Linked DNA regions of Callithrix jacchus. The protein of the gene in region 1 interacts with the protein of each later gene in a biochemical or structural test. Links are inferred from orthologs where the notes say so. Each region holds a gene or a part of one and is shown in the gene's direction. Other genes may lie near its edges. The genes, in order: UBC, RNF126, torsin-1A-interacting protein 2, UBASH3A, OTUD1, CDC34 and WWP1.

Region 1 (3,815 bases):
TGTGACCCAAAATAAAGTCCTGTCCGTCTCGCGGGGTGGGCCAGGGCAGGTCGCGGGGGAGGGGAGGGACACCCCGACTCTGCGGGAGGCGCTCAGTTCCCGCCCCACGTCCACCGAACACGAGTTGGCGACCCGTGGCGACCGCGGGGGCTGAAGGGAGGGGGTGCACGATCGCAGCCGAAGAACGCCGGCCGCCCACCGACTCCAGGCGCCGCAGTTCCGGGCCGGGTTTTGGCGCCTCCCGCGGGCGGCTCCCTCCCCACGGCGAGCGCCGCTACGTCACAATCGCAGTGCGCAGCTAGTGCCTTGATCCCTCCGCCCGGCCTCTCAGGACGGCGGCCCGCTGCCCACCAGACTCGGCCCAGAACCCCAGTCTCAGCAGGAGGACATTTTAGGACGGGACCTGGGTGACTCTAGGGAACTGGTTTTCTTTCCAGAGAGCGGAACAGGCGGGGAAAAATAGTCCCTTCTCGGCGGTTCTGCGGAGGGATCTCCTCGGGGCGGTGTACGCCGATGACTATATAAGGACGCTCCGGGCGTGGTGCAGCTAGTTCCGTCGCAGCCGGGAGTGCAGTTGTGTTCGTGGTTTGTCCGTTGCTGTCATCGCCGCTTGGTGAGCAGTGGGGTTCTGGGCGGGCTGGGGCTTTCGGGGCCGAACGGCCGCGAGGTGGGATGGAGGCGGGTTGCCGCCCCGGGTCTAGAGACTGGGGAGGGCTGTCGGCTGTGTCCGCTAGAAAGGTGGGCTTGAGGTGGGGAGAACGCAGCAAAATGGCGGCTGTTCCGAGCGCTGCGTGGAAGACGCCTGTGAGGCGGGCCGTGAGGTCGTTGAAACAAGGTTGGGGGGCATGGACTCAAGGCTTGGAGGCCTTCGCTAATGCCGGAAAGCTCTGATTCTCGTGGGATGGGCTGGGGCACCATTGGGGGACCCTGACGTGAAGTTTGTGATTGACTGGAGAGCTCGTCTTGTCCGTTGCGGGGGTAGCGGTTACCGCGTGGCCGCGCGGCAATGGGGCGCGCTGTGGGGGGGGGAGAGCGCGCCTTCGCTCTGTGGTGACGTCACCCGTTCTCGTTCTGTCGGCTCATAATTGCGGGGCGGGGCCACCTGCCGGGAGGTGAGCGGTGGGCTCTTCTCCGTCGCAGGACGCAGGGTTGGGCCTAGGGTAGGACCTCCTGAATCGACAGGCGCCAGACCTCCCGAGAGGGAAGGGTAAGCGAGGCTTCAGTGTCTTCGGTCGGTTTTGTGTACCTACGGTTGTAAGGAGTTGAAGCCTGGGTTTTGAAAACAGGCTGGTGAGTGTGTTTTGTGAAGTAACGCAAGTTTTAATTGTTTGGGTCAATGTGACATTTAACTTACAGCATTAGGAAGGCTAATAAATTGCTAAATCCTGGTGGTTTTTGGCTTTTTGTCAAAACAGACAATGCAGATCTTCGTGAAGACCCTGACCGGCAAGACCATCACCCTTGAGGTCGAGCCCAGTGACACCATTGAGAACGTCAAGGCCAAGATCCAGGACAAGGAAGGCATCCCTCCTGACCAGCAGAGGTTGATCTTTGCCGGAAAGCAGCTGGAAGATGGGCGCACCCTGTCTGACTACAATATCCAGAAGGAGTCCACTCTGCACCTTGTCCTCCGTCTCCGAGGTGGCATGCAGATCTTCGTGAAGACCCTGACTGGTAAGACCATCACCCTTGAGGTCGAGCCCAGTGACACCATTGAGAATGTCAAGGCCAAGATCCAGGACAAGGAAGGCATCCCTCCTGACCAGCAGAGGTTGATCTTTGCCGGAAAGCAGCTGGAAGATGGGCGCACCCTGTCTGACTACAATATCCAGAAGGAGTCCACTCTGCACCTTGTCCTCCGTCTCCGAGGTGGCATGCAGATCTTCGTGAAGACCCTGACTGGTAAGACCATCACCCTTGAGGTCGAGCCCAGTGACACCATTGAGAATGTCAAGGCCAAGATCCAGGACAAGGAAGGCATCCCTCCTGACCAGCAGAGGTTGATCTTTGCCGGAAAGCAGCTGGAAGATGGGCGCACCCTGTCTGACTACAACATCCAGAAAGAGTCTACCCTTCATCTCGTCCTCCGTCTCCGAGGTGGCATGCAGATCTTCGTGAAGACCCTGACCGGCAAGACCATCACCCTTGAAGTCGAGCCCAGTGACACCATCGAGAACGTCAAGGCCAAGATCCAGGACAAGGAGGGCATCCCTCCTGACCAGCAGAGGTTGATCTTTGCCGGAAAGCAGCTGGAAGATGGGCGCACCCTGTCTGACTACAACATTCAGAAAGAGTCCACTCTGCACCTCGTCCTCCGTCTCAGAGGTGGCATGCAGATCTTCGTGAAGACCCTGACTGGTAAGACCATCACCCTTGAGGTCGAGCCCAGTGACACCATCGAGAATGTCAAGGCCAAGATCCAAGACAAGGAGGGTATCCCTCCTGACCAGCAGAGGTTGATCTTTGCTGGAAAGCAGCTGGAAGATGGGCGCACCCTGTCTGATTACAATATCCAGAAGGAGTCCACCCTTCACCTCGTTCTCCGTCTCCGAGGTGGCATGCAGATCTTCGTGAAGACCCTGACTGGTAAGACCATCACCCTTGAGGTCGAGCCCAGTGACACCATTGAGAACGTCAAGGCCAAGATCCAAGACAAGGAAGGTATCCCTCCTGACCAGCAGAGGTTGATCTTTGCCGGAAAGCAGCTGGAAGATGGGCGCACCCTGTCTGACTACAACATCCAGAAAGAGTCCACTCTGCACCTTGTCCTCCGTCTCAGAGGTGGCATGCAGATCTTCGTGAAGACCCTGACTGGTAAGACCATCACCCTTGAGGTCGAGCCCAGTGACACCATTGAGAACGTCAAGGCAAAGATCCAGGACAAGGAGGGAATCCCTCCTGACCAGCAGAGGTTGATCTTTGCCGGAAAGCAGCTGGAAGATGGGCGCACCCTGTCTGACTACAACATCCAGAAAGAGTCTACCCTTCATCTCGTTCTCCGTCTCCGAGGTGGCATGCAGATCTTCGTGAAGACCCTGACCGGTAAGACCATCACCCTTGAGGTCGAGCCCAGTGACACCATTGAGAACGTCAAGGCAAAGATCCAAGACAAGGAAGGCATCCCTCCTGACCAGCAGAGGTTGATCTTTGCCGGAAAGCAGCTGGAAGATGGGCGCACCCTCTCTGATTACAATATCCAGAAAGAGTCCACTCTGCACTTGGTCCTGCGCTTGAGGGGGGGTGTTTAAGTTTCCCCTTTAAGGTTTCAACAAATCTCATTGCACTTTTCTTTCAATAAAGTTGTTGCATTCCCAATTGGTGTGGGTTTTTTTTTAAGTTAAGGTATTTTTGCATTAGATAGGGTGAAGGGGATCAAGGTTTCCAGTCCGCAAATGTTACCGTGGTAACCATGAAATGTCAGTGAATGGGGGGAGGTAGATTTACAATATGAACTGTAGAAAGTGGGTGCAAATAAAACGCAGGTTCAAGACCAGCTTGGCCAACATGGTGAAACCCCAGCTCTACTGAAAATACAAAAAGGTGTGGCAGGTGCTTGTAATCCCAGCTACACCGGAGGCTGAGGCAGGAGAATCCCTTGAACCCAGGAGGCAGAGGTTGGCAGTGATTTGAGATCGCAGCACGGTACTTCCACCTGGGGGAACAGAGCAAGACTGTCGTAATCAGGTTATTGGGAGATACTTTTTCAAGTTACTTAAAAATACTGGTTGGGGGTGTGTGAGGTAACAGGAAGGGAGAAGGAATATTAAAAGGTGGGAGTGATGAGAGGGTCCCTGTGAAAGAATGAAGTACATAGG
Region 2 (4,300 bases), on another chromosome or scaffold:
CGGGAGGCAGAGGTTGCAGTGAGCCGAGATCATGCCACTGCACTCCAGCCTGGGCGACAGAGCGAGGCTCCATCTCAAAAACAAAAACAAACTCTAAATGCCCAGTCTCCAACTCTTAATTCCTCAACAGTCTGGCTCCAATGCCTCATTTTGCAGGATGTCCAACTCCAGCGAAACTCTATTCATCCCTCAAAGCCCTGAATCCAATGTAGTTTCCCCTCGGACACCTTTTTTGTCTCCCCAGGCAGAGCCAGGGCCACCGTCGAGTCCCATCCTCCGGTCCAATCTCATGGGGCTGGAGGTGTCTGCGTGCATTCAGCACGGGGTCTGGTGTGCGGTGAATGTTGAGTGAATAAAAAAATAAATGCACGATTGGGCCAGAGCTGACCTCAGAAATCATCCTGCGCTGGGTGATGCTACTGTTTCTACTGCTTAATTTTCTTTCTAAAAAAAAAAAAAATTTTTTTTTTTTTTTGAGAGGGAGTCTTGCTTGCTCTGTTGCCCAGGCTGGAGTGCAGTGGCTGGATCTCAGCTCACTGCCACCTCCGCCTCCTGGGTTCAAGCGATTCTCCTGCCTCGGGCTCCTGAGTAGCTGGGATTACGGGTGAGCGCTGACACGCCCGGGTAATTTTTGTATTTTTAGTAAAGACAGGGTTTCATCATATCGGCCAGCCTGGTCTCGAACTCATGACCTAGTGATCCGCCCACCTCGGCCTCCGACAGGCGTGAGCCACCGCGCCCGGCCTCTACTGCTTAATTTTGGAAGCGGGGTTAGGTTTCCTGCCTCCTCCTCCCTCCAAAGGCGCCTGGGCATAAAACATCTTGGAAAGCAAGGCCGCACCCCACAGACCTCAGCCTCTGTCTGACCCCCGGGTCCCGGTGAGGCACAGCCGGTAGCCGAGTCCCCGGTCTGCAGGCGTTTCGCAGCGCTGATGGAACGCCTGCCGGGTGTCAGGCGCTACTGCGGGTGCGAACACCCCTTGGCCGCGCGGCTGGCCTTACAGTGCACGGGGTGGGAATCAGTGCCGCGGGGCAGGAGGGCGGCAGAGAAGACCCCGTGAGCTGACATTTGAGCAAAGGCCTGGAAGAAAGCCACGTGGGCGTCGGGGGAGGGGCACCGGGCGGGGTAGGGGGACTAGGCCGGTGCAGACGCCCGGAGCGGAGAGAGCGCCTGGAGAGCCCCGGGAGCAGTGGGGACAGGGGTCTGCAGTACCGTGAGGGGAGAGGACGATAAGGTAGGGAAGCTCCGAAGGAAAGGAGGGCCTTGGCAGGATTGAATGGCGAGGAGGGCTTCGCTCCTCGTCTCTTCCGCCGGGGCTTGGCCCCGCCCCTCCAGAACCCCGCCCCTCCAGAACCCCGCCCCCGCTCGGAGCCCCGCCCATCGGCCGGGCCTAGTTTGTCTCTCAGCGGCCACCGTCGCCCCGCCCGCCGCCCGCCGAGTGCGCAGCATTACGCCGCGCCCGCGTCCCGCCCCACGTGCCGTGCGTGCCGTGCGTGAGCGTGCGTGGGCGCGTCGGCCGGCGAGGGAGCCGCAAACGGCCGGCGGCGGGCGCCGCGCAGGGGGCGGGCGGCACGGAGTAGGCGGCGGCGGCCATGGCCGAGGCGTCGCCGCAGCCCGGACGGTACTTCTGCCACTGCTGCTCCGTGGAGATCGTCCCGCGCCTGCCGGTGAGGCCCGGGCCGGGGCGGCGGGCGGTAGGGTCTGTGCCGCAGGCCTGAGGCAAGGCCCGGGCCGGGGTGGAGGTCGCCGGTGCCCGCTCCTCGCGCGAGGTGGCCACGACGGGGAAACTGAGGGTGGGGACAGCGCCGGCCCAGGGTGGATCCGCGGGGAGCCCGGGCGGTGCGGGCGCGAACCCCGTCCTGCACATGCGGGAAACTGAGGCCCGGAAGGGGGGAGGCGGGGCCTGGCCGGGGCGGCGCAGCTGGGTCGGGTGATCCCACATCCTCTGCCTTCTCGATCCGAGAGGCCGCGGGGACCCCAGGTGGGAACGCTCCTCCGAACCCCGTGAGCCTGGTTCTGTAAAACGGAGAAAGTGAGGCCCGGCGAGCAGAGGGTATTGCCCAGGGGCGCGGTGCGGGCCACGGGCCGGGCCTGGCGGGGCGCAGACCCCGAGAATAACGCCAGGGGACCCCCGCCGAGCGCGCAGTCCGGGGCGCCCTAGGCTCGCCTCGTGGGGCCCTGGCCGCCGCCTGGGAGTCAGGCCCAGGCCCGGAAGGCTCCAGGCACCGTCCCGGGCTCCGACCGCGGCCCTCCGGCAGGGCTTTGTGACCCGAGCCTGCGTTCTTCCCTTCCCGGGGCTGGGTTGAGCAGCCCACCCTTTCTCGAAGTGTTTACAGCCACCCTTGGCTCAAGGGGACCCCGGGCCTGGGTGTTCCGAGTGTTACTTCCTGCTTATTTAGGGCGATGTTTCCCACGCGGACCTGATGTCACCTTGGGGGCAGGTGGGAGCGGTGCTCGTGGAACGTGCTATTTCCAGGCCCCTTCTCCGGGGTTTCGGAGTCAGCAGGTCTGGAACGGGCTCGGCAGTTGGCGTTCCTATTACTATTTTTAGGGACAGGGTCTCACTGTGTGGCCCAGGCTGGTCTTGAACTCCTGGGCTCAAGTGATCCCCCTGCCTCCCAACGCGCTGGGATTACAGGTGTGAGCCACCGTGCCCGGCGGTGGTCTGCATTTGTGACCAGTGTTTCCCTTTCTCAGGCTAATGTGGAAAGTGGTGATTTCTTTGAGCCACGCCTGCAGATGGGGAAACTGAGGTCCGTGGTGGCTCAGCAGAAAAGGCAGAGCCTGCTCAGTCGGGAGCTGCCAACTTGAGGGGAGCAGGTGCAAGAGGTGGAGCCGTGTCTGGACTCCCTACCCTGTGCCCACGGGAAGAGGCTGCAGGCGTTGAGGATTTTCTGTGCTCTCTCTGTGCATTACCACCCGGCTGTTGCTACGGTTTGACCCATTAGAGGCGCCCAAGCCCTCCAGAAGCAGTAGCGTTCCTTGGGAGCAGAGACCCCGGAAGGGGCTGGAGGGAGTCAGGAGAAGCAGCTTTCTTGGTCACGGAGGAGGAACCAGTGCTAGAGTTGGGGCATGACGGGAGAGCAGTGACACAGGCCAGGAGTGGAGAGAGTAGAGAGGTGTGGCTTCCTCTCTGCTGAAGCCACAGGGCTTCCCCTCCCCAGCAGGAGGAACAAATCAAGTAAAATCCTGGGTGTGGGGCGAAGATTAGGGAGCTGAGGCTGAGCCTTGTCTTGCTGCTGTGCCTCTCAGGGTTCTCACTCCTGCCCCTTCCTGTTTCCTGTGCCCCCTGGCCGTGGCAGAAGGGGTTGGTTGGCTGACAGACTGCCTGCCAGGGTGAGTTGTAGGGCAGCCCCTGACAGCTGTGTGAGCCCTGGGACAGGTCCTGGGAAGCCTGGAGTTGTGGCTGTTGGAGGTGGCTAGCCCTGACCTGTTGATACTTGGCTGCTCTGGGAGCCTGCACAGGGCTGGATCCTGGTGTGGTGGAGCCACTTCCTGGCCCTGTGGCCTCGGACAAGGAGGACCCTGACCTCTTCCGATTGTCACTGGGCCTGGGGAGGACCTTCTTTTAGTCATGGAAACTCAGTGGTGTCTGGTAGTCCTGGTCTTGGCTCTCACGGAATTTATAGGCTGGCCGGGGAGCCAGCATTGAACCGCGGCTGACAAATATTTGGTCATGAACGTTGGTAAACAAGTGCAGGGAGCGGGTGTGTGGGTGAGGGGAGTGCCTGTCTTCACCCTGCAGTGATCCCGAGGGCACCTGCTCGTGCCTTTGGAGCAGGACGTAACATGGTGCCAGTAGACAGTGTGGCGGTGTCAGGACTTCATTGTACAGGGCAAGACTCTGTCCCTACAAGACATAAAAACAAGTGGTGGGTGTCTTGTTGCACGCCTGGAGCCCCAGCCACTGTCGGGGCTGAGGTGGGAGGAGCGCTTGAGTCTGGGAGGTGGAGGCCGCATGGAGCTGTGACGGTGCCACCGCACTCCAGCCTGAGTGACGAGCAAGACGCTGTCTCAAAAAGAAACAAAAACGGATTTTCTGTGCTGGGAGTTGGGCGCACCTGTTCTGGGGCAGGAAGGCTGCTCCAAATCTGGTGATGGGGAAAGTCCCCAGCCACCACCAGCACCCTCGAAATGGGCGTCTCTGCCGGTGGTGAGCTTGCCCCGAGGCTGAGTCTGAGGTGGCGCCACTGCTGCTGAAACACCTAGGCTGGTGTCAGGAAGCCCCTACGGGCCTCTGACCCGGAGGCCTGCCGGGGCTGAATGCCTGTGTGTGGTGGCTTCTCCCAGGCAGCTGGG
Region 3 (3,500 bases), on another chromosome or scaffold:
GAGAGAGAAAATCTCTGATGACTGAAATCTGAAGTTTTAAAGTAAAAAAGCTAATTCAATGGATTCATTTGCTTTGATTATACTTATTCTTTCAGATTTACTGAACTTCACCGTAATGTGAGACCCTAATTATAAGGAAGATAAATGTTTTAGAGACTCCAATAGTAGGGACTTATAGCAATGGAAAAATACAATGCTTCTTTAAAAAATGATGGTAAACAAATCTTTAGAGTTATATACATCCCGTGATGTGCTATTTTTAGAAGGGATTTTCTTCGTTTTTTTTCTTTCTGTCATCCAGGCTGGAGTGCAATGGTGGAATCTCAGCTCACTACAACCTCTGCCTCCCAGGTTTAAGCCCTCAGCCTCCTGAGTAGCTGGGACTACAGGCATGCGCCACCACTCCCGTCTAATTTTTGTATTATTAGTAGAGACAGGGTTTTACCACATTGGCCAGGCTGGTCTCGAACTCCTGACCTCATGATCTGCCCACCTCAGCCTCGTAAAGTGCTGTTATTATGGGTGTGAGCCACTGCATCCGGCCGATGATGATTCTTCGTAAAAAATGTAATTACAATACCTTTATCACACCTAAAATGATGAATTATAATTCCTTGGTGTCATCAAATATCTGGCATTTAGATATTGCCGATTGTGTCATAAATATTTCTTTAATGATTGGCTTATTCGAAACTGGATCTAGACATTGTGGTTCACATATTGTATTTGGTTGATGGTCTCTTAAGTTTCTTGATCAGTAAGTTAAGAGACTCCTTTTTTCCCCTTTTCTTGCCATTTATTTTAATTTCTTACTGTTATTAAAGAAACGTCTTTTGGAATTTCTCCCATCCTGCATTTTGCTGATTATATTCTTGAGGCATAATTTAATATATTCCTCTATCCCTATATTTCTTGGAAACTGGTAGGTCTAGAAGCTTGATCAGATTTCAGTTCACTTGTTTGGCAAGAATACTTCTAGGTGGTCTAGAGTACTTCCTCCTGCGTTATATTAGGAGGTAAATGATGTCTGCTTGGGTTTCCCTGTTTTCATGATGATTGGTCACTGGGTTCAGCAGTTGTCAGTCTGGCTCATCCACTATAAAAGTTCCCATCAGCCTTTGCATAAGGTTTCAGCTACCATTGATGAGCACTGCCTTTCATTAGGGAAGAAGATATGTTTAATATAACCAAAAGTTGGTTCTGACAATCTGTTGGTCATACAAATTGTTTTGTATTAGTGTTATTTTAGATTTATTGACATGTTAAGTTTTTGTTGTTGTTTAAATCACCTTTAGTGGGAGCCAACAGAAATAATGTTTAGGAAGAGTGTCTTGTAAACCATGAAAATCTATATAAATATTATTATTAAACAGAGACACTGTTAAAATATAAATTTATGGGGAATTTTTTCCAATAAGAATTATAAATTTTTATCTCAATAGACTCTCAAAAGGATTTGGAAAATGATCCATCAATAAATTCTCAGGCACAAGAGACCACAATCATAACAAGTACTGCTGAAGAAGCTCAGACCCTACACTCTGCCGCTGGTCTTAGCAAAGGCCACCAAGAGGTAGAGACAATAGGTCCAGAAAATGTAGTTACAGGTGATAAATCAGAAAGTCCAGATGAAGCAAATGTGGGGAAACATCCAAAGGATCAAATAGAGCATGAGAACAACCAGAGTTTTCTGGAGGGTGAAAAAGGGCATCACCTCCCTTCAGAAAGTCTGAGTGAAGAACCCCTGGATCCAGATCCCAGCCATTCTCCAAGTGACAAGTTAGGACGAGCAGACGAACACTTAGGGAGCAGCTCGGCAGCCCTCCCCACGGAAGTGATTGACGGAATGGGAGCACCTCAGGAACCTCCTGCTGCAGGCTCCCAGGAGGCCGAGGGTCCTGGTCATTCCAGTGCAGGGCAAGAGGGCGAGGATACACTGAGGCGGCGACTGCTGGTCCCGGGTAAGAGAACCCTCTGAACTACTCTCCTATTTTGTATGGCTCTGTTGACTGAGAACACATCAGAAGTCAGAGGCCTTCTTTCCAGAGAACTTTTGTCTATCTTTCGTAGGATTCAGGCCTTGGAGCCCTGCCCACGCTTGCACAAAACCATACGACTGAGTGGATTTTGGAATGAGGTTTCTCATCTAAGCTAATGGCTAGCTTATTCCATTATATTAAGTTGCTTCCTACACATAAACTGCATTTCTAAGCAAGGTTTTTTTTAACTGTTAATGTGATATGACAAAAAGGGACATGACTTTTAAAAAATTTGCTTTTGGCTTTTTATTTCTTATGAGAATATTTTGACGTACAATTTTTGAAATCTTACTTTTTGGGGAACTAAATGTTACATCAATCAAGAGATGGGTATATTTGAAAATGAGCATTAATTGGACAGTATCCTTAACTCAGTCACGATTCAGTTTTATAGGACTTTAAGTCAGTTAGTTTCTCTATACCTGATTTTGTCTGCCTATATGCTAAGAGGAACAAGCATGTCTTCCCTTATGAAGGTAAGCATTGCAGTGTGCTAAATCCTTAAATGGAACTCAAGAGGTGTAAATTCTAGTTGTGGCCCTATCACTTGCTAACTTGGGTGACCTTTGGAAAGTGTCTTCACTTCCTGGTGCTTCAATTTCCCATTTGTAAAACAAAGAAGTTAGACGAGAAGCTCTCACCTTCTGTGATTGTCTATGTGGATTTGTATTTTATAAGCACTTGGAAGAGCTCAGTCTGAAATGCCCATTTGCCAGTGCAGTTGTGTATGCGCCAGGTGCAATTGCATATGCCTCTAGTCCCAGTCACTTGGGATGTTGAGGTGGGAGGACTGCTTGAGCCCAGGAGTTCGAGCCTGCCGTGTGCAATGACCACCCTTGTGAATGACCTCTGCGTTCTAGCTAAAGTGCCTGGGCCATGTAGTGAGACCCCATCTCTTTAAAAAAGAATTCACTGTTAGGCAGGTTCACTGTAAGTAGAAAAAATAATGTTTTGTTTTTTGTTTTTTTTAGCTGGAGTCTCACTCTGTTGCCCAGGCTGGAGTACAGTGGCATGATCTCTGCTCACTGCAACCTCTGCTTCCTAAGTTCAAGTGATTCTCCTGCCTGAGCCTCCTGAGTAGCTGGGATTATAGGCGTGTGCCACCACGCCCAGTTAATATTTTTGTATATTTTTAGTAGAGGCGGGGTTTCATCATGTTGGTCAGGCTGGTCTTGAACTTATGACCTCGTGATCTGCCAGCCTCAGCCTCTTAAAGTGTCGAGATTACAGTCATGAGCCACTGCGCCTGGTGAAAAAATATTGTTTAAAATATCCAGTTTAGGCCAGGTGTGGTGGCTCACACCTGTAATCCCAGCACTTTGGGAGGCTGAGGTGGGTAGATCACAAGGTCAAGAGATTGAGACCATCCTGGCCAACATGGTGAAACCCCATCTCTACTAAAAATATAAAAATTAACTGGGCGTGGTAGTACACGCCTGTAGTCCCAGCTACTCGAAAGGC
Region 4 (2,863 bases), on another chromosome or scaffold:
GGGACACTCACCAGTTCTCAGGAGACTCTGGCCCTTCCTGGCACACAGGGGGTCACCACTCCTCTGATACCTTCCCACGGCTCATCAGTTCTCACCTCAGAAATACCATGGCTGTGCCTAATCACAGAACAGTGTTTGCCCTGAAGAAAATCACATTGTTTTAAAGGCATGATTTAGAAGTGTGTGCATGAGTCTGAGATCTACAAGGAGACTTAACTTATGCAAGGTCAGCGTGGACGTTGAAGATGATAAACACTTGTATTCTGTTGAATCCAGAACTCAAACTGGAGAAAAAAATCAAGATACGAGTGGAGCCGGGAATATTTGAATGGACGAAATGGGAAGCTGGCAAAACCAGCCCAACCCTCATGAGCGTGGAGGAGCTGAGGGAGGCGCATTTCAACATCGACACTGATTACAGGTGTGCTCTTCTAAAGTTCTCTGCCACTGGGGCTTTTCTAGTTCTTGTTAAGGAAAAATTTCATGACACTGTTAAAATGGTGAGAAAGACTTTATTCAAGAGGGACCACTGCAGTGGGGTTTGCAGCAGGGGAGGGAGACGGGGCTCGACTCCTAATACAAGGACAAGTGCGGATTTGTAGCCACAGAGCAGGGTAGGAGCTGGTGGCTGGAAAACTCCTGAGAAGGCGGGTCATTCTTGCTAAACTGACACAAACAGGGCCTCCTGCTGGAGGCAGGCCAAGGTGATCAGATGTCACTTGAGGGTGGCAGAGGACAAGGAACTTGATCAGAGACCGAGGGTAACAGGTTCTTGCTAAACTCACTCTGCAAGAACAGACACAGAAGCCCAAGGGTCAAGCCTGCATGGAGAAGGTTAAGGGGAGCTGGACTGGAGTTTGGTCAAAGAGAGTCTTTGTTGTTCTCCACCCATGTCTGACTCTGCCATCACAGAGCCCTCCTGGTGTTCACTAAGAATGTGCTGGAGACTGACTGTTAGTGCTTTGCCAGTTTTCAGCACAAAACTAGAGCCTCCCGGTTGCCCATGAGCCCAGCCTTGAGGCAGAGCCGTCCCAGAAGAACATTCTCCTTCCCTGGCTAACTGCAGCCGCGTCTCCTGATCCTACCAAAAGGCCAGGGCAGCAGCCTCTCCCTCTCCTCCTTCCAGGCCTGCGTTTCCCCTGTCCGCCCTCAGGCCGGCCGAGAGCTACCAGGAGTACGTGGACAGGTGCACAGCGAGTGTACTGCAAATCGTCGACACGCGTCTGCAGGACAGTAAGTGCCTCACCATCCTCGGCACGGACAGCCCCTGGGGCTTGGGGATTCTCTCTGAGACGGCGATTGGCTGACTTTCTGAACCTATGAATGCCTTCACTTCCCCTGCCCCCACATTCTCCAGCCACAAAGTGCTCATTGCTGCTGCTGCGGTAACCGGGTGCATAGACACGCGCTCCCCCTGCCACCCTGGGCCCCGGGACCCCTCATCCCGGGACTGAGTGCTGATGGGCTGATGGGACCCAGGCCAGCAGGGTCAGCACAAACCACCCGCGTCCAAGGGATTCGAGTCAGTTTCCTGGGAAACAAAAGAGACAGAGAGGAGAAACAACCAACTTCTACTTGGAGCCCCCTTCCTGACCCACCACACAGGTCTCCTGACCCTCCAGCATTGCTTTGTCCCAGATGAAGCGCACGCAGAAGCACTGGCTTCCCACCCCTTCCCCCGAGCTGGCGGGGACACGCATCTCACCTGAGGGAGCCCCCTCCTCCTGTGGTCTCCAGGTGTTCTGTACACGAGTCATTGTAGGCTCGTGTAACAAAACAACCAATTGGCCATTCAGGCCCGGGCAGCAGCCACCGTACCCCATCCCACACGGGGCCCAGGCAGCGGCCACCACAGAGAGGGGGCAGCTCAGTTCACTTCCTAGGCCTCCCTGAGGCTGGCAGGCAGCTGCTGCACGCGAAGGAATCCACGAGCGAGGGTGGGATGCAGGCGTCACTAAGCCATTACCAGCCACACTACCTCCTAGCCCAGGGGTCGCTCTGGGTAGACTGTGGGGTCCCCAAAGTGTACGGAGCACTCTGAGCTAGCTCTGCCCCAAACACTTTGGGGACCCCAGTCTTATAAAAGGTGCTCTCTGGGCCTGCTTTGACCTGGAGGCGTTCGTGTTTCCCACAGCAGGTGTCATCCTAATTGTGAGTCACGGCTCCGCGCTGGATTCCTGCACTCGGCCACTGCTGGGGCTGCCGCCTCGGGAGTGCGGGGATTTTGCCCAGCTCGTGAGAAAGGTACGTGCTCACTCTTGGCTCTTAGAGCCACAAAGTCAAGCACCCCAAAGACACAGGTTATCACACCCCTTCTTGGGATGAAAACAAGTATCCAGCTGACCCAGGATCCACGTGCTCCTGGAGACGGTGCCCACCTGCTCCTGTGCAAACGGTGACTTCCTTGTGGGGCCGGTGGATAGGTCAGTCCTCATCATCACTGGTCACCTGCCGAGGTTTTACCAGTCAGCTCACCCTATCACCCCTTGCAGCTCTCGTAGAAAAACAGACAATCCAGAAAGGAGTAAGCAGTGTGGATGAGGAGAGAAGAAAGGACTGCATGACTCACCTGGCCTCCTCTGGGGACCTGCGCTAGGGCGGCTGACGGATGAGAAGGAGCCCCTCGGTCCTCTTGCTCTTGGAGTCACCCAGCACAGAATAAGCTTGATCTGTAGTTGCCAGAGTGCTCAGGTGCTGGCCAGGGCCTTGCGAATGACAAACAGAGGTTGATGCACACGTGGCATCTTGGACAACCTTGACTATCACCCAGCAAAGTGAGAGGGTGCCATCAAGTCCATGGGTGAACTGAGGCAGGCAAATGCAGGAGCTCAATCCCACCGGCCCCGGCCCCTTCTGTGCAGAT
Region 5 (4,029 bases), on another chromosome or scaffold:
CCTCTGGCTAGCAATTGTACCTATTTTCAAAAGGCCCTAAGTGATAATGCTTTTGGTATTCTGAGAACGGCTGTTTATGAAAGGCTTCCTTGCTTTCGCCTAAGTCAGATATTTACCAGGTGGCATAGGTCAGAGGTGCAGAAAAGTTTGTTTTGTCTTAGCAGGGCAGGAGGATCCACTAGAGGACTCACTCTTAACAGGTGAGTCCAAGGAAGCGCCTACAAAAGACGCAGTGGTGAAACTAGCTGGGCACCTGTAATCCCTACCCAAGGCAAGGCTGAGGAAGGGGGATCGCTTGGACCCTGGAGGTCGAGGCATGATGGCGTCACTGCATTCAGCCTAGATGGCTAAGCAAGACCTTGCCTCAAAAAGAAAAAAAAAGGTAAAAGATGTGGTAGTGCCAGGCGTGGTGGCTTGGGCCTGTAATCAATCCTAACACTTTGGGAGGTTGAGGCGGGAAACAGCTTAAGGCCAGGAGTTCCATACCAGACTGGGCAACTGAAGTGAGGCCCTCGCCTTAAAAAAAAAATTAGCTGGGTGAGGTGGTGCACGCCTGTGGTTTCCAGCTACTCTGGAGGCTGAGGCTGGAAGATCGCTTGAGCCACGGGAGGTCAAGGGTGCAGTGGGCTCTGACTGAGCCACTGCACTACAGCCTGGGCGACAGAAGGGACCCTCATCTCTAAAAAAAATAAAGAAAAAAAGAAAAGAAGCAGTGGTGAACGCAAGCAGGTATGGTAGCCCAATACCATGGGGAGGCCAAACAGGCTTTAAGGCAGCATTCCGTCCTCCACACCCAGCCCGGAAGCTTTCCTGCCACACAAGCTTTCCAAGCATGCTAGCTCGCCCCAAGCAGCGCCCATCCCGCAGCATCCACTGCAGCCACCGCAGAGAGCGGCGCAGCTTAGAAACCCGTCCCCAGGTGGGGAAAACGGTCCGCGGGAGTCACGTGGGCGGGAGGCCCAGCCAGAAATCTCAAGACTGCGCAGGCCCCTGAGCCTCAGCGCCCCCGGCTCCGCCCCGCCCGCGCGCGAGTGCGCGCGCGCGCGCGGGGGACTACGCCCGTGACGTCGGCGGGGCACAGCGGAGCGGGACAGGAGGCGGGGCGCGGGCCGGAGTGGGTGGGGCGAGTCGGTGCTGCTGAATCGGGCGCCCGGACGAGTCGCGCATTCCAGCGGGGTCATGTGACGCGGCCGCGAGGCCTGAGGTAAACAACCGCGGCCCCGCCTCCCGGGCCTCCGCGCGCCCCGCGCTCCTCCTTGTCGGCGAGACGCGCTCTAGCGGGGTGGGTAGCTTCTTCCGAGAGTCCCCTGCGGCCGCCGCAGCAACTGCAGCGGGCAAGGCGCCCAGGGTCTGCAGGCCGAGCGCACCGGCAGGGGTCGAGCGCGCGTCCCGTCCCCGCCCTCCCCCCACGCTGTGGCGCAGCAGGAATTTGGCCGGGACCCGGGAGCTATTCGCGGCTGCTGACGCGCGGCGGCCGGCGACCGGGCGCTCATCTCTATTCTGGGGCCGTTTGGTCACCGCGCTCCGCCGGCCCCCTCCCCCGGGCCCGGAGGGTGTGTCCCCCGCTCGGGGGCTCGCCGCGCCTATAAGGGGCCGAGCGGCGGGCAGGGACATGCAGCTCTACAGCAGCGTCTGCACCCACTACCCCGCCGGGGCCCCGGGTCCCACGGCCGCAGCCCCCGCGCCGCCTGCAGCCACCGCCGCCGCCCCCTTCAAGGTCTCGCTGCAGCCCCCGGGAACCGCCGGCGCCGAGCCCGAGACCGGTGAGTGCCAGCCCGCCGCGGCCACAGAGCCCCGGGAAGCCGCCGCTGTCCCCGCCGCCAAGATGCCTGCCTTCTCCTCTTGCTTCGAAGTGGTGTCCGGGGCCACCGCGCCCGGATCCGCAGCCGCCGGCCCGCCCAGCGCGTCCTGCAAGCCGCCACTGCCGCCGCACTACACTTCCACCGCGCAGATCACCGTGCGGGCCCTGGGCGCCGACAGGCTCCTGCTGCACGGGCCCGAGCCCGCTCCCGGCGCCGCGGGCTCTGCGGCCGCCCCGCGCGGCCGCTGCCTCCTGCTGGCCCCGGCGCCCGCAGCCCCCATCCCGCCGCGACGGGGCTCTTCCGCCTGGCTCCTGGAGGAGCTGCTGCGGCCCGACTGCCCCGAGACGGGCTTGGAGGCGGCCCGGGAGGGGCCCGATCGGAACTTCCGACTGAGCGAGCACTGCCAGGCCCTGGCCGCTGCCAAGCATCGAGGCCTCGCGCCCACCCCGGGGAGTCCCGACGCCGGCCCCGGTCCGTGGGGCGAGGAGCACCTGGCGGAGAGGGGCCCCCGGGCCTGGGAGAGGGGCGGCGACCGCTGCGACGCGCCTGGCGGGAACGCGGCTCGGAGGCCCGACCCGGAGGCCGAGGTGTCTCCCGGCCGGAGCAGCGAGGCTGCCCCGAGCAGCGCGGTGGAGCCGGTGGTTGTCCCCAGGTCGGATCCCAGAGACGAGAAGCTGGCCCTGTACCTGGCCGAGGTGGAGAAGCAGGATAAATACCTGCGGCAGAGAAATAAGTATCGATTCCACATCATTCCCGACGGCAACTGCCTGTACCGAGCTGTCAGCAAGACTGTGTACGGCGACCAGAGCCTGCACCGAGAGCTGAGGGAGCAGACCGTGCACTACATCGCCGACCATCTCGACCACTTCAACCCCCTGATTGAGGGCGACGTAGGGGAGTTTCTCATCGCTGCTGCCCAAGACGGGGCATGGGCTGGGTACCCCGAGTTGCTGGCCATGGGGCAGATGCTGAATGTGAATATCCACTTAACTACTGGAGGGAGGCTGGAGAGCCCCACGGTGTCTACCATGATTCATTATTTGGGCCCAGAGGATTCCCTGAGGCCCAGTATTTGGCTCAGTTGGCTCAGTAACGGACACTATGATGCTGTATTTGATCACTCCTATCCTAACCCAGAGTACGACAACTGGTGCAAACAAACTCAAGTGCAGAGGAAACGCGATGAAGAACTTGCCAAATCTATGGCCATATCCCTGTCTAAAATGTATATTGAACAAAACGCATGCTCTTGAAGTGTCTCAAAACCTTAACACCCTGGGAAAATTGCATACATAACTTGTGTTTGGAGAATCACGTGAACTCTAATCAGGGTAATAGCACTTTCAAACTTCCTAGTAGATTTTACTGTAGGTGTAATGCCTTAATCATCTTTTTGAATGTTTTCTCAGAGCTGAAGGTTGCTGGGCACCCAAATGATGTTTCATGATAGCTTAGGGTGATTTTACTGCTATTTATAATTTGCTGTATAAAGTGAGCACTACTTAATTTGCAAGCTGTTTTCTCACAGTGTAAATTTGTTCATTCCTGGTAGTCTATTTTCTATAAAAATGTATTTTTGCACAACATTTTTAAAAACTGGTGTACCTTCATCTATGACGTGTCCCATTTTGACAGCTTTCAAGCATAAATCCAGAGAAGTGCTTTATATGAAATGTATTATTTTGAACAGAGTTTGTGATTTGGTAGTTCTTACGTTGTTGAAATTTGATTTTCACAATTCTTAGATAATTATTTCAGATGGATATTGATGTATTCTTGTTACCAAGTGTTTGGCCCATTCCATTTTGATGAAACAAATCTGTTCTGTTGGAAATAATTATTTTTCTAGAAATGGTGAATCTTTTAAAGAGAAATACTTAACAGAAGGTTGTGGGAAGGTTTTTTTTCTTCTTTTAAGGGATAGTACCAGGTCTTACTTGAATGAAAGTCTGATATTTGCCGATGACAGAGTGATTATTCTGTACCCTGGTTAATGTGTAAATTGTCTGGTGCTCTCAGTTTTATTTACATTTGTCACTTTGTTATAAGAGAATCTAACTTGGTATAAAATTTTGTGACAAGATAAGCCTCCTGCTTTATATAACTTCTTGGATCCAGCTAAGAGATTTATAAACTAATGTCATAAATGTCTGGAGCCAACCTTGGCAGTTATAGCAGGAGAACACTGTCTTAGTATTTCTTTTACATTCTTTCAAAAGGCAAAAAA
Region 6 (3,142 bases), on another chromosome or scaffold:
TGCTTTTTGTATTTTTAGTAGAGATGGGGTTTGCCATCTTGGCCAGGCTGGTTTTGAACTTCTGACCTTGTGATCTGCCCGTCTGGGCCTCCCAAGGTGCTCGGATTACAGGCGTGAGCCACTGCGCCTGGCCAAGCAGAATTTTAAAAGCAACCTTTAAGGCAAAAAAAAAAAAAAAAAATCTTTAAAATATTGCACCCATAATCCATGTGTGTCCCCAGCCCGGGCCCCACGAGCTTCCAGTGCCTTCCGTCTGCACTCCCTCCTGCATTTGCTGGCACCTGGTGTCGTGGAGTTGTCCTGGGGCAGCATCGTGGTGCTGGGCAGTCTCTGCTCTGAGCAGCCACAGTGGACAGGCCCCTGTGTGGCATCCTGGGAGGTGCTCTGCCAGCACCCACTGGCCTCTGGAGGTCAGGGGGGAGCCGGCCTGGCAGTCCCTCGGTGCAGATGCCCTCAGCGGCCCTGGCCCAGCCGTGTCACCTGGCACATGTGGCCAGTTCCTTGGCCCGGTTCTTCCTGGCCACCTCCCTGAGGTACCTCCCCCTCAGATCCCAGCACAGAAATAAAAGCCACACTATTTTTATCCCTCGAAACTCCCTGCAGGCCAACTCACGTGTGCCCATGTGGCCTGATGTGGTCGCTGCTTTCTGCTTGTTTTTAAATCGTGTGTGTGTTGGCCTTATGGCAGCCAGAGTCCCACTGCGTTGTGTGGGGCAGGTGCTGTGAGCCCGGCTTGTTCAGGGCTGTTGGTCTTGCTGGACAGCACGGCCAGACAGTCTTCCAGTTCATGCTGGGGGTGTGCCACTGGCAGGTCAGGTCCCATCCTGGACCTCCCCTGGGTCTCCCCACGCCCCACCCCCCCACCCCCATTCAGTGCTGGCCTCAGGGCGCCGTTGCCCACTTCAGCCTCTGTGTCCAGCCTGCTGGAGAGCTCGGGAAACAAAGTGCGGCATCTGCCGGGTCTGCCCAGGGACGTCTTAGAGGCCAGACGTCGGCCCTCCATGCCTCCCACCTCCCTACAGGAGGAAGCTCTGGGCTTGGGGCTGTCTGTCCACGCCCTGCTGCCCTCCTCTGCGGGCACTGTGGAACCCACACACCCCAGGAGCTGCCAGGCCCAGCGCTGTCCTGGTCACCCTGGGAGCAGCCAGGGCCAGAGCCTTCTTGGTCTGTGATGGGGCTTGAGGGCTGGGTTTCAGTCCCTAGCCTATCGCCTGAGGCTGCAGCCTTGTTCCTGTTTTCTGTCAAATGGGGTCACTGTGCAGCCCGGCCTTGCTGTGCGGGCACCCAGAAGCCCCTTGCCGGGAGTCCTAGAAGGACGTTCTTGATGTGCGTCATGGAGGTGGAGCTCAGGGTAGGCCATCCTTATAGGGCCTGGTGTCCATGATGCCCTCTGGAAAGTTGGTGCTAACTCATCCTCCCTTCTTGCCAGAGGCCAGCGTGGCCAGGCCTGCCTTGGTTTAGAATCCTAGCGAGGGCGTGGCAAGGCTCTGGCCGTCTCTGCGTCTCCCGTCCCACCTGTGCTGGTTCTCGGCTCCAGGATGGTCCTGACTCCTGTCCTCAGGCACCCCCAGCTGCTTGCTTTGCTCCTGCACTCAGGAAAGTCTTTTGCCCCGACGTGGGGCTGCACGGGCACTCCCTGTCACCCGGTGTCATGACTTTCTCCAGCTCCTGACGGGTCCCTGTGGGGTGTGCTTCAGAGCAGGATGGGTGGATGTGACTGCACTGCGCCCGTCAGCCTCCTGCCTGCGCCTCCTGCCCTTCCCAGGCCCGTCCTCTGTTGTGTCTCCCTTCCGGAGTTCCTCACTTCGAGCGTTTTCCTCCGAGGTTGCTGAACGCAGCGGAGCATTGGGATGAGCGTCAGGCATGGGGGTTGGGGGCAGGGGCCAGGTCCAGGCCCGTGTGTGGCGCCCTCACCCATCCTGTCCCACCAGGAAGCAGGTCCTGGGGACCAAGGTGGACGCGGAGCGTGACGGGGTGAAGGTACCCACCACGCTGGCCGAGTACTGCGTGAAGACCAAGGCGCCGGCGCCTGACGAGGGCTCGGACCTCTTCTATGACGACTACTACGAGGACGGCGAGGCAGAGGGGGAGGCTGACAGCTGCTTCGGGGACGACGAGGACGACTCGGGCACCGAGGAGTCCTGACACCGCTCAAATAAACACGCAGAGTTCACCTCACTAGGGCCGGACCGTATGGATCCTTAGACCACAGACTACCTCACAGAGGTTTTGTGCTCCTTCTCTGGTTGTTTTGTTTGGCTCTTTTTCTCCTTCCCATGTTTGTTCTGGGTTTTCATGTGCTTCAGAGAAGAGGGGCTGCCCCACCGCCACCCACGTCACTCGGGGCTCTGTGGACGGGGGCCCAGCTTGGGAGTGGCCAGCCCACCTGTCCTCTCGGGAGGGGAACAGAGTCCCGGCCTCTGCCCAGGCGCCGCGGCTTCCAGACTGGCTGCAGCCCAGAGGAGTCACAGGGAGCGCAGCAGGGAACGTGGGTGGGCGGCTGCCGGCCTGAGGGTCCCGGCCCAGCGTGTCGGCCCCAGGGCCCGGAGCCACATCCCAGTGCAAGTGGACAGATTCGTGGTGGCCAACTCTTCTCTCTGCTTTGGTTTGTGTGGAATCTAAATAAAACTACTTTATGAGAAGCCACAGAAGCTCTGTGGGGAGGGAGAGGCAGCCTGCTGGGACCCAGCTGCGCCTGGTGTGGGTCCGGGATGCCTCTCAGGAGGCGTGGGGAGCAGCCGCTTCCCATAGCCCGTAGCTCACAAACTGGGGTCAGACGGGCCTGGGCGGCATCCCCCAGCCTGCAGTGAACTGAAAGCCCCCGAAGTTCCTCCCTGTGACCAGGTGTGTTTCAGGGGACAGGAGCTGCCCCTGCAGGCATCCAGCAAAGCTTCATCCCAGGGCCACAGCCGCCTGGGCATTGATCCTGGTGCCTTGGCCACAAATGCCCCCATCAGCAATCTGGGGATGGCTCAAGGCCACAGATTGCCCCTTTGAGCACTCTGGGGGCTCCATCGTTGTCCAGGCAGACCCTTGGGGTGGGAGAGCCGTGGCCCTGGGCATACAGGGCAGGCACCTCGCATCCTGGCATCAGGAAGTCCCTGGAGTCGTTTTGTTTCATGGGGGAAAGCTTGGCGCCCTT
Region 7 (3,955 bases), on another chromosome or scaffold:
CAAACCTGTAGTCCCACCTACTTGGGAGGCTGAGGAAGAATAATTGCTTGAACCTAGGAGGCAGAGGTTGCAGTGAGCGGAGATCGCTCCACTGCACTTCAGCCTGGTGACGGAGTGAAACTCTGTCAAAAAAAAAAAAAAAAGTGCCAAAGGACTGCTCTCAGTGGAGAGCAGGCAGTGGTGTGGGCAGGGACATCTAGCCTCCCAGACAGAAGGAAAACAAGTGTGGACGTAGGGATAATCTATGGGGGAGTTGATTGGGGAAAAATTGTAGAAATCCATGCCTGAAGGCTTCTGCTTCTCTGAAGTAGAAAACCGGATCATCTGTTAAGTAATGCGGTTCCACTGACTTCTATTTGCACATTAGCCTTTCTTCTAAAAGCTACACATAACCAACAGCACTTCCTAAACCAGTTGACTTTTCTGTATAATGGAGACAGTAGACGCTACTTTATGGGATTGCTGTATGGGTTAATTGTGCCAACACGTGTACTTGCTCAGGAAGTATTAGCTTTATCACTGGGCTGATGTGAGTGAGGGCAGGGGAATGAAGGTTTTGATTAATAAATAATGGACTGCAAGTCTTCGGGTATGACCATGGATAAATGCAGTTATTTACTCTTGCAATGGGTTCTAAGTCAAACCCTCAGCTAGGTCAGGGAGTAGTTATGAACAGCCTACTTTTGCCCCAGGACCTTAAGAAGTCTTGCTCTGGGATCGGCCGCCTACCGGAAAGTCGTGTTCTCAGTGCCCAGCGCGGTCTTAGAACAGCCTCTTCCCAAATCTCAGCGGCGGCCCCGCCCCTTCCACAGGTTCAGGCCCCGCCCCTCCCTGCTATTGGCTGTCCCTCCCATTTGCTCGACCGCTCTCAGGACCCGGAGGAGCGGAGTTTTCTAAGGCAGCCTCCGAGCGCCCTCGCTGCGCATGCTCGGGGGAGGCCGATTCCGGGTCCGGAGTTGGAGGCTTTGGGCTGTCGCGGCGTCGCGCGCGGTGCCGGGGCCGGCGGGGAGGCGCGCGCTCGGGGCGCGGCGCCGGCGACGCTGCCACGCAGCGCGCTCCCGAGGAAGGGAGGTGTGGGGTCGCCTGGGGGTGGCGCGTGGCCGGGGTGGGGGTGGGGGGAGGGTCGGGTGTCGGCGAGCTCGGCGTGCGGGTTCCGAGTGTCTGAGGCGGCCTGGGCTGCCGGGGCCGACGCCTGGGTGGCTGCCGCCGCCGCGCCTGCTAAGAGATGGCGATCTTGGGCGCGGAAGGGTGAGGGCGCCCGCCGCAGGAGGAGGTGTCCCTGCCGTGGCCGCCCGGCTGCCGGGAGCCGACAGCTTCGCGCCGGGTAAGGACTGCGCGGCGCGGGGCTGGGGGCGCAGGACTGGGGAGGCGGGCGGGGAGGGAGGGGGCGCGGGCCCCGAGCCTTGGCCGCGGTGCCCGGCACCCGGCGCCGTCCGCCTGCGGGCGGGACCCTCCAAGGGGCAGTGAGAGGACGGTCCACCCTGCCTTGTCTGCCTTCTCCGCCTTCTCCAGCTCGGGAGCCGGGAGTTTTCTGGGGTGGGGTCACGGGTCTTGCCCAGAGTTGGCCCTGGCACAGGCCTGTGCCAGTGATCCTGAGCGGAGCTAAATGTTTCCGTGACTCTGCAGCCGCGGTTCTTCCTCAGCCTTCTCTTCGGTTTCCTTCACCTTTTCCTACCTCACTCAGAACACAAATATAGGGACTCATTGCCCGTGCCCTGAGTTTTCACCCCAATTTCAATGTTGCAAACCAAGGACTCCAGCCTTGGAATGCCTTTTTCTGACGTGTTTTTGTCACTCCCGGTTCTTCACCGACTCTGCAGCTCCCCTCCCTGCCCCCCCAGCGCAACCCCCACCTCTACCTTTTGTGACCTGGTAGGTCCCGGTGACCTTGCAGATTTTACCAGTCCTTTTTACCAGTCCTTATCTTGTCTGTGACTTACACACTTACCTTTCATCTTCGTTTTCTTTTATAAAATTTTTCATTTTCTTGTTTGCCCCTTACCTTTACGACCTTTAAATGATCAGTCTTGTTCACAGTCTTCTCTGCTCTGTGGATTTGGAGTTTTCTTTGCTCTGGTAATTATATGAAACCTTCATTACCAAAGAAGAGTAGCATCTGTTATAATTTTGACATTCACTCTTCCAGTAAAATATTTTCCAGGGGCTTTTGCTTTCTTTTTCTATTTGAAAAGTTTAACAGTTTTGGTTTTTTTTTTGTATGTAGGTTAATGTGGAACAAGATTTTGTGTTTCTGCTTTAAAATGTTACTGGTAATAGTAATGGGGAAAAAAATAATATCCACAGTTGTCTTTGTTTTCTCCGTTTGGTGATTTTGCCAGAAATACATGGGTTTACAGTTATCTGCAGGTTTTATTTATTTATTTTTTTACAAGAGTTCATGTGTATGTGTAAATCCTGCCTCACCAAATCTGTGTGTATTATGCAAGCAAAGAAAGTCGTTCTTGTATTGTGTGACTTGTTTTTAGCTATCAAGTTGGAAATTAGCTGCGACTAGAAATGATCATCTTTCATAAATAGTTAATATTTTAAAAATGGAAAGTATAATGGCCAAGTGTTTGGATCTACTCAGATTGAAAATTGTAAAGTATGTGAAATAGTTCTTTGGGACCTAGCTTATTAACATTTTCAGATAGTTCTTACCTTAAAATGCAAAACTGCTGGTAAGACCTATGACATCAGGATTTTCAAAAGCAATAATTACTAGTTATGTTTTTTGGAAGTCGGCCTAATAGAGAATGTCACAGATAAAGTCTCTGCCTTCAAAGAGATAGTAATCTTTGCTGTTTACCCCATGGTGGCTGAAATTTCCTTTACTTCCTTGTACAGATGTTAGGCATTTACTGCATAATTGTGGGGGATATTTTGGGGAATACAAAAATGAACTGATTAGCAGTTTCTGCTTTTACACTAATTAGGTAGATAGTGCTATAAACAAATGCCCTATTTGTCTTTTAATATATACGTTTCGTAAACAGTACCAAAATCCTCTCAGAAGTCAACTTCAAAGAGAGTAGAGCTCAGATCTTACTTGGCAAGGTAGGGATAAGAGGGTTAGTTCGTAGAGCTTCTGGCTTCTGAAATCGTGGTTTTGAAGGATCACTATGACTTTGGATAGGCAGGAAAGGTAATCCAAGCAGAGAGGGATCTCTAAGAGAGCACAGAGTTCCTGTTTGGGGAGAGGCAAGTAATTATGTTTGGGTGGAACATAGTGTTATTTGTATTTGGATAAAGGGTGATAAAACATGAAGTAGAAATTTGGAACAGTTTATGGGTTGTTTTTAATGCCAGGCTTATGAACCTTGGATTTACTAGGTGGTGGGGCTTCCACAGATGATTTTGAATTGGGAGTAAAACAATTTGAACACTTTGTTTCAGAGGGATTAGTGGGATAGCAGCCTGTAGTGTGAGTTGAGGTAGGGAGCGTGTGGAGGTAGAAAGACCTCCCAAGTGTTGTAGTCTGAGGTGTGGTGCACGCGAATGGAAAGGAAGAAAGGAAGTAGAATAGCCAAAATTTGATGAGAGGGCAAATGAAGAAAGTAAAAGTAACAGATTCTGATCCAGGTTGGTTGGGAGAACGTGGTACCATTTTGAGCAAAATCATGAAGCTTTACCCTCAGCATATGTGTGCTACTTTACAACCTTTTGGGGATTACTACTTCTTGGTGAAACTTAAGAAATCTGCTGGCCTGGAAAACTTCCATATGTACCTGTGCTTTGTGGCTACAGTTTTAGGAGAGTCCGTGGACCATCTGAAGGTCATCCATGGCACCCATCTCAGAATTACTTGGAGCTTTTTTTTTTTCCTGAGGTAGAATTTCTTTCACTCCTTCCAGGCTCATTGCAACTCCCACCTTCCAGGCTCAAGAGATTCTCCTGCCTCAGTCTCTCGAGTAGCTGCAAACACAGGCACTTCCCACCACACTTGGCTAATTTT

Evidence for each region.
Region 2: the proteins of UBC (region 1) and RNF126 form a complex in vitro, tested with the Homo sapiens proteins (3 studies listed by BioGRID, with this or other methods). The link is inferred for Callithrix jacchus from reciprocal best matches to the Homo sapiens genes UBC and RNF126.
Region 3: the proteins of UBC (region 1) and torsin-1A-interacting protein 2 form a complex in vitro, tested with the Homo sapiens proteins (2 studies listed by BioGRID). The link is inferred for Callithrix jacchus from reciprocal best matches to the Homo sapiens genes UBC and TOR1AIP2.
Region 4: the proteins of UBC (region 1) and UBASH3A form a complex in vitro, tested with the Homo sapiens proteins (4 studies listed by BioGRID). The link is inferred for Callithrix jacchus from reciprocal best matches to the Homo sapiens genes UBC and UBASH3A.
Region 5: the proteins of UBC (region 1) and OTUD1 form a complex in vitro, tested with the Homo sapiens proteins (2 studies listed by BioGRID, with this or other methods). The link is inferred for Callithrix jacchus from reciprocal best matches to the Homo sapiens genes UBC and OTUD1.
Region 6: of the proteins of UBC (region 1) and CDC34, one has a biochemical effect on the other in vitro, tested with the Homo sapiens proteins (10 studies listed by BioGRID, with this or other methods). The link is inferred for Callithrix jacchus from reciprocal best matches to the Homo sapiens genes UBC and CDC34.
Region 7: the proteins of UBC (region 1) and WWP1 form a complex in vitro, tested with the Homo sapiens proteins (2 studies listed by BioGRID, with this or other methods). The link is inferred for Callithrix jacchus from reciprocal best matches to the Homo sapiens genes UBC and WWP1.

The regions. Positions count from the first base shown.
Region 1 is NC_133510.1:128,100,836-128,104,650, reverse strand, and holds UBC (polyubiquitin-C), read left to right. Parts: upstream 1-1,403; 5' UTR 1,404-1,418; coding exon 1,419-3,248; 3' UTR 3,249-3,315; downstream 3,316-3,815.
Region 2 is NC_133523.1:625,004-629,303, reverse strand, and holds the start of RNF126 (E3 ubiquitin-protein ligase RNF126), read left to right. Parts: upstream 1-1,500; 5' UTR 1,501-1,593; coding exon 1,594-1,668; intron 1,669-4,300. UniProt on the Homo sapiens protein: E3 ubiquitin-protein ligase that mediates ubiquitination oF target proteins. Depending on the associated E2 ligase, mediates 'Lys-27'-, 'Lys-29'-, 'Lys-48'- and/or 'Lys-63'-linked polyubiquitination of substrates.
Region 3 is NC_133519.1:23,518,208-23,521,707, forward strand, and holds part of torsin-1A-interacting protein 2, read left to right. Parts: intron 1-1,442; coding exon 1,443-1,961; intron 1,962-3,500. UniProt on the Homo sapiens protein: Required for endoplasmic reticulum integrity. Regulates the distribution of TOR1A between the endoplasmic reticulum and the nuclear envelope as well as induces TOR1A, TOR1B and TOR3A ATPase activity.
Region 4 is NC_133522.1:48,266,989-48,269,851, forward strand, and holds part of UBASH3A (ubiquitin-associated and SH3 domain-containing protein A), read left to right. Parts: intron 1-276; coding exon 277-421; intron 422-1,126; coding exon 1,127-1,233; intron 1,234-2,134; coding exon 2,135-2,244; intron 2,245-2,863. UniProt on the Homo sapiens protein: Interferes with CBL-mediated down-regulation and degradation of receptor-type tyrosine kinases. Promotes accumulation of activated target receptors, such as T-cell receptors, EGFR and PDGFRB, on the cell surface.
Region 5 is NC_133508.1:23,883,671-23,887,699, forward strand, and holds the start of OTUD1 (OTU domain-containing protein 1), read left to right. Parts: upstream 1-1,229; 5' UTR 1,230-1,612; coding exon 1,613-3,055; 3' UTR 3,056-4,029. UniProt on the Homo sapiens protein: Deubiquitinating enzyme that specifically hydrolyzes 'Lys-63'-linked polyubiquitin to monoubiquitin.
Region 6 is NC_133523.1:505,363-508,504, forward strand, and holds the end of CDC34 (ubiquitin-conjugating enzyme E2 R1), read left to right. Parts: intron 1-1,931; coding exon 1,932-2,145; 3' UTR 2,146-2,642; downstream 2,643-3,142. UniProt on the Homo sapiens protein: E2 ubiquitin-conjugating enzyme that accepts ubiquitin from an E1 ubiquitin-activating protein, and catalyzes its covalent attachment to other proteins by an E3 ubiquitin-protein ligase complex. In vitro catalyzes 'Lys-48'-linked polyubiquitination.
Region 7 is NC_133517.1:40,734,736-40,738,690, reverse strand, and holds the start of WWP1 (NEDD4-like E3 ubiquitin-protein ligase WWP1), read left to right. Parts: upstream 1-1,155; 5' UTR 1,156-1,324; intron 1,325-3,955. UniProt on the Homo sapiens protein: E3 ubiquitin-protein ligase which accepts ubiquitin from an E2 ubiquitin-conjugating enzyme in the form of a thioester and then directly transfers the ubiquitin to targeted substrates.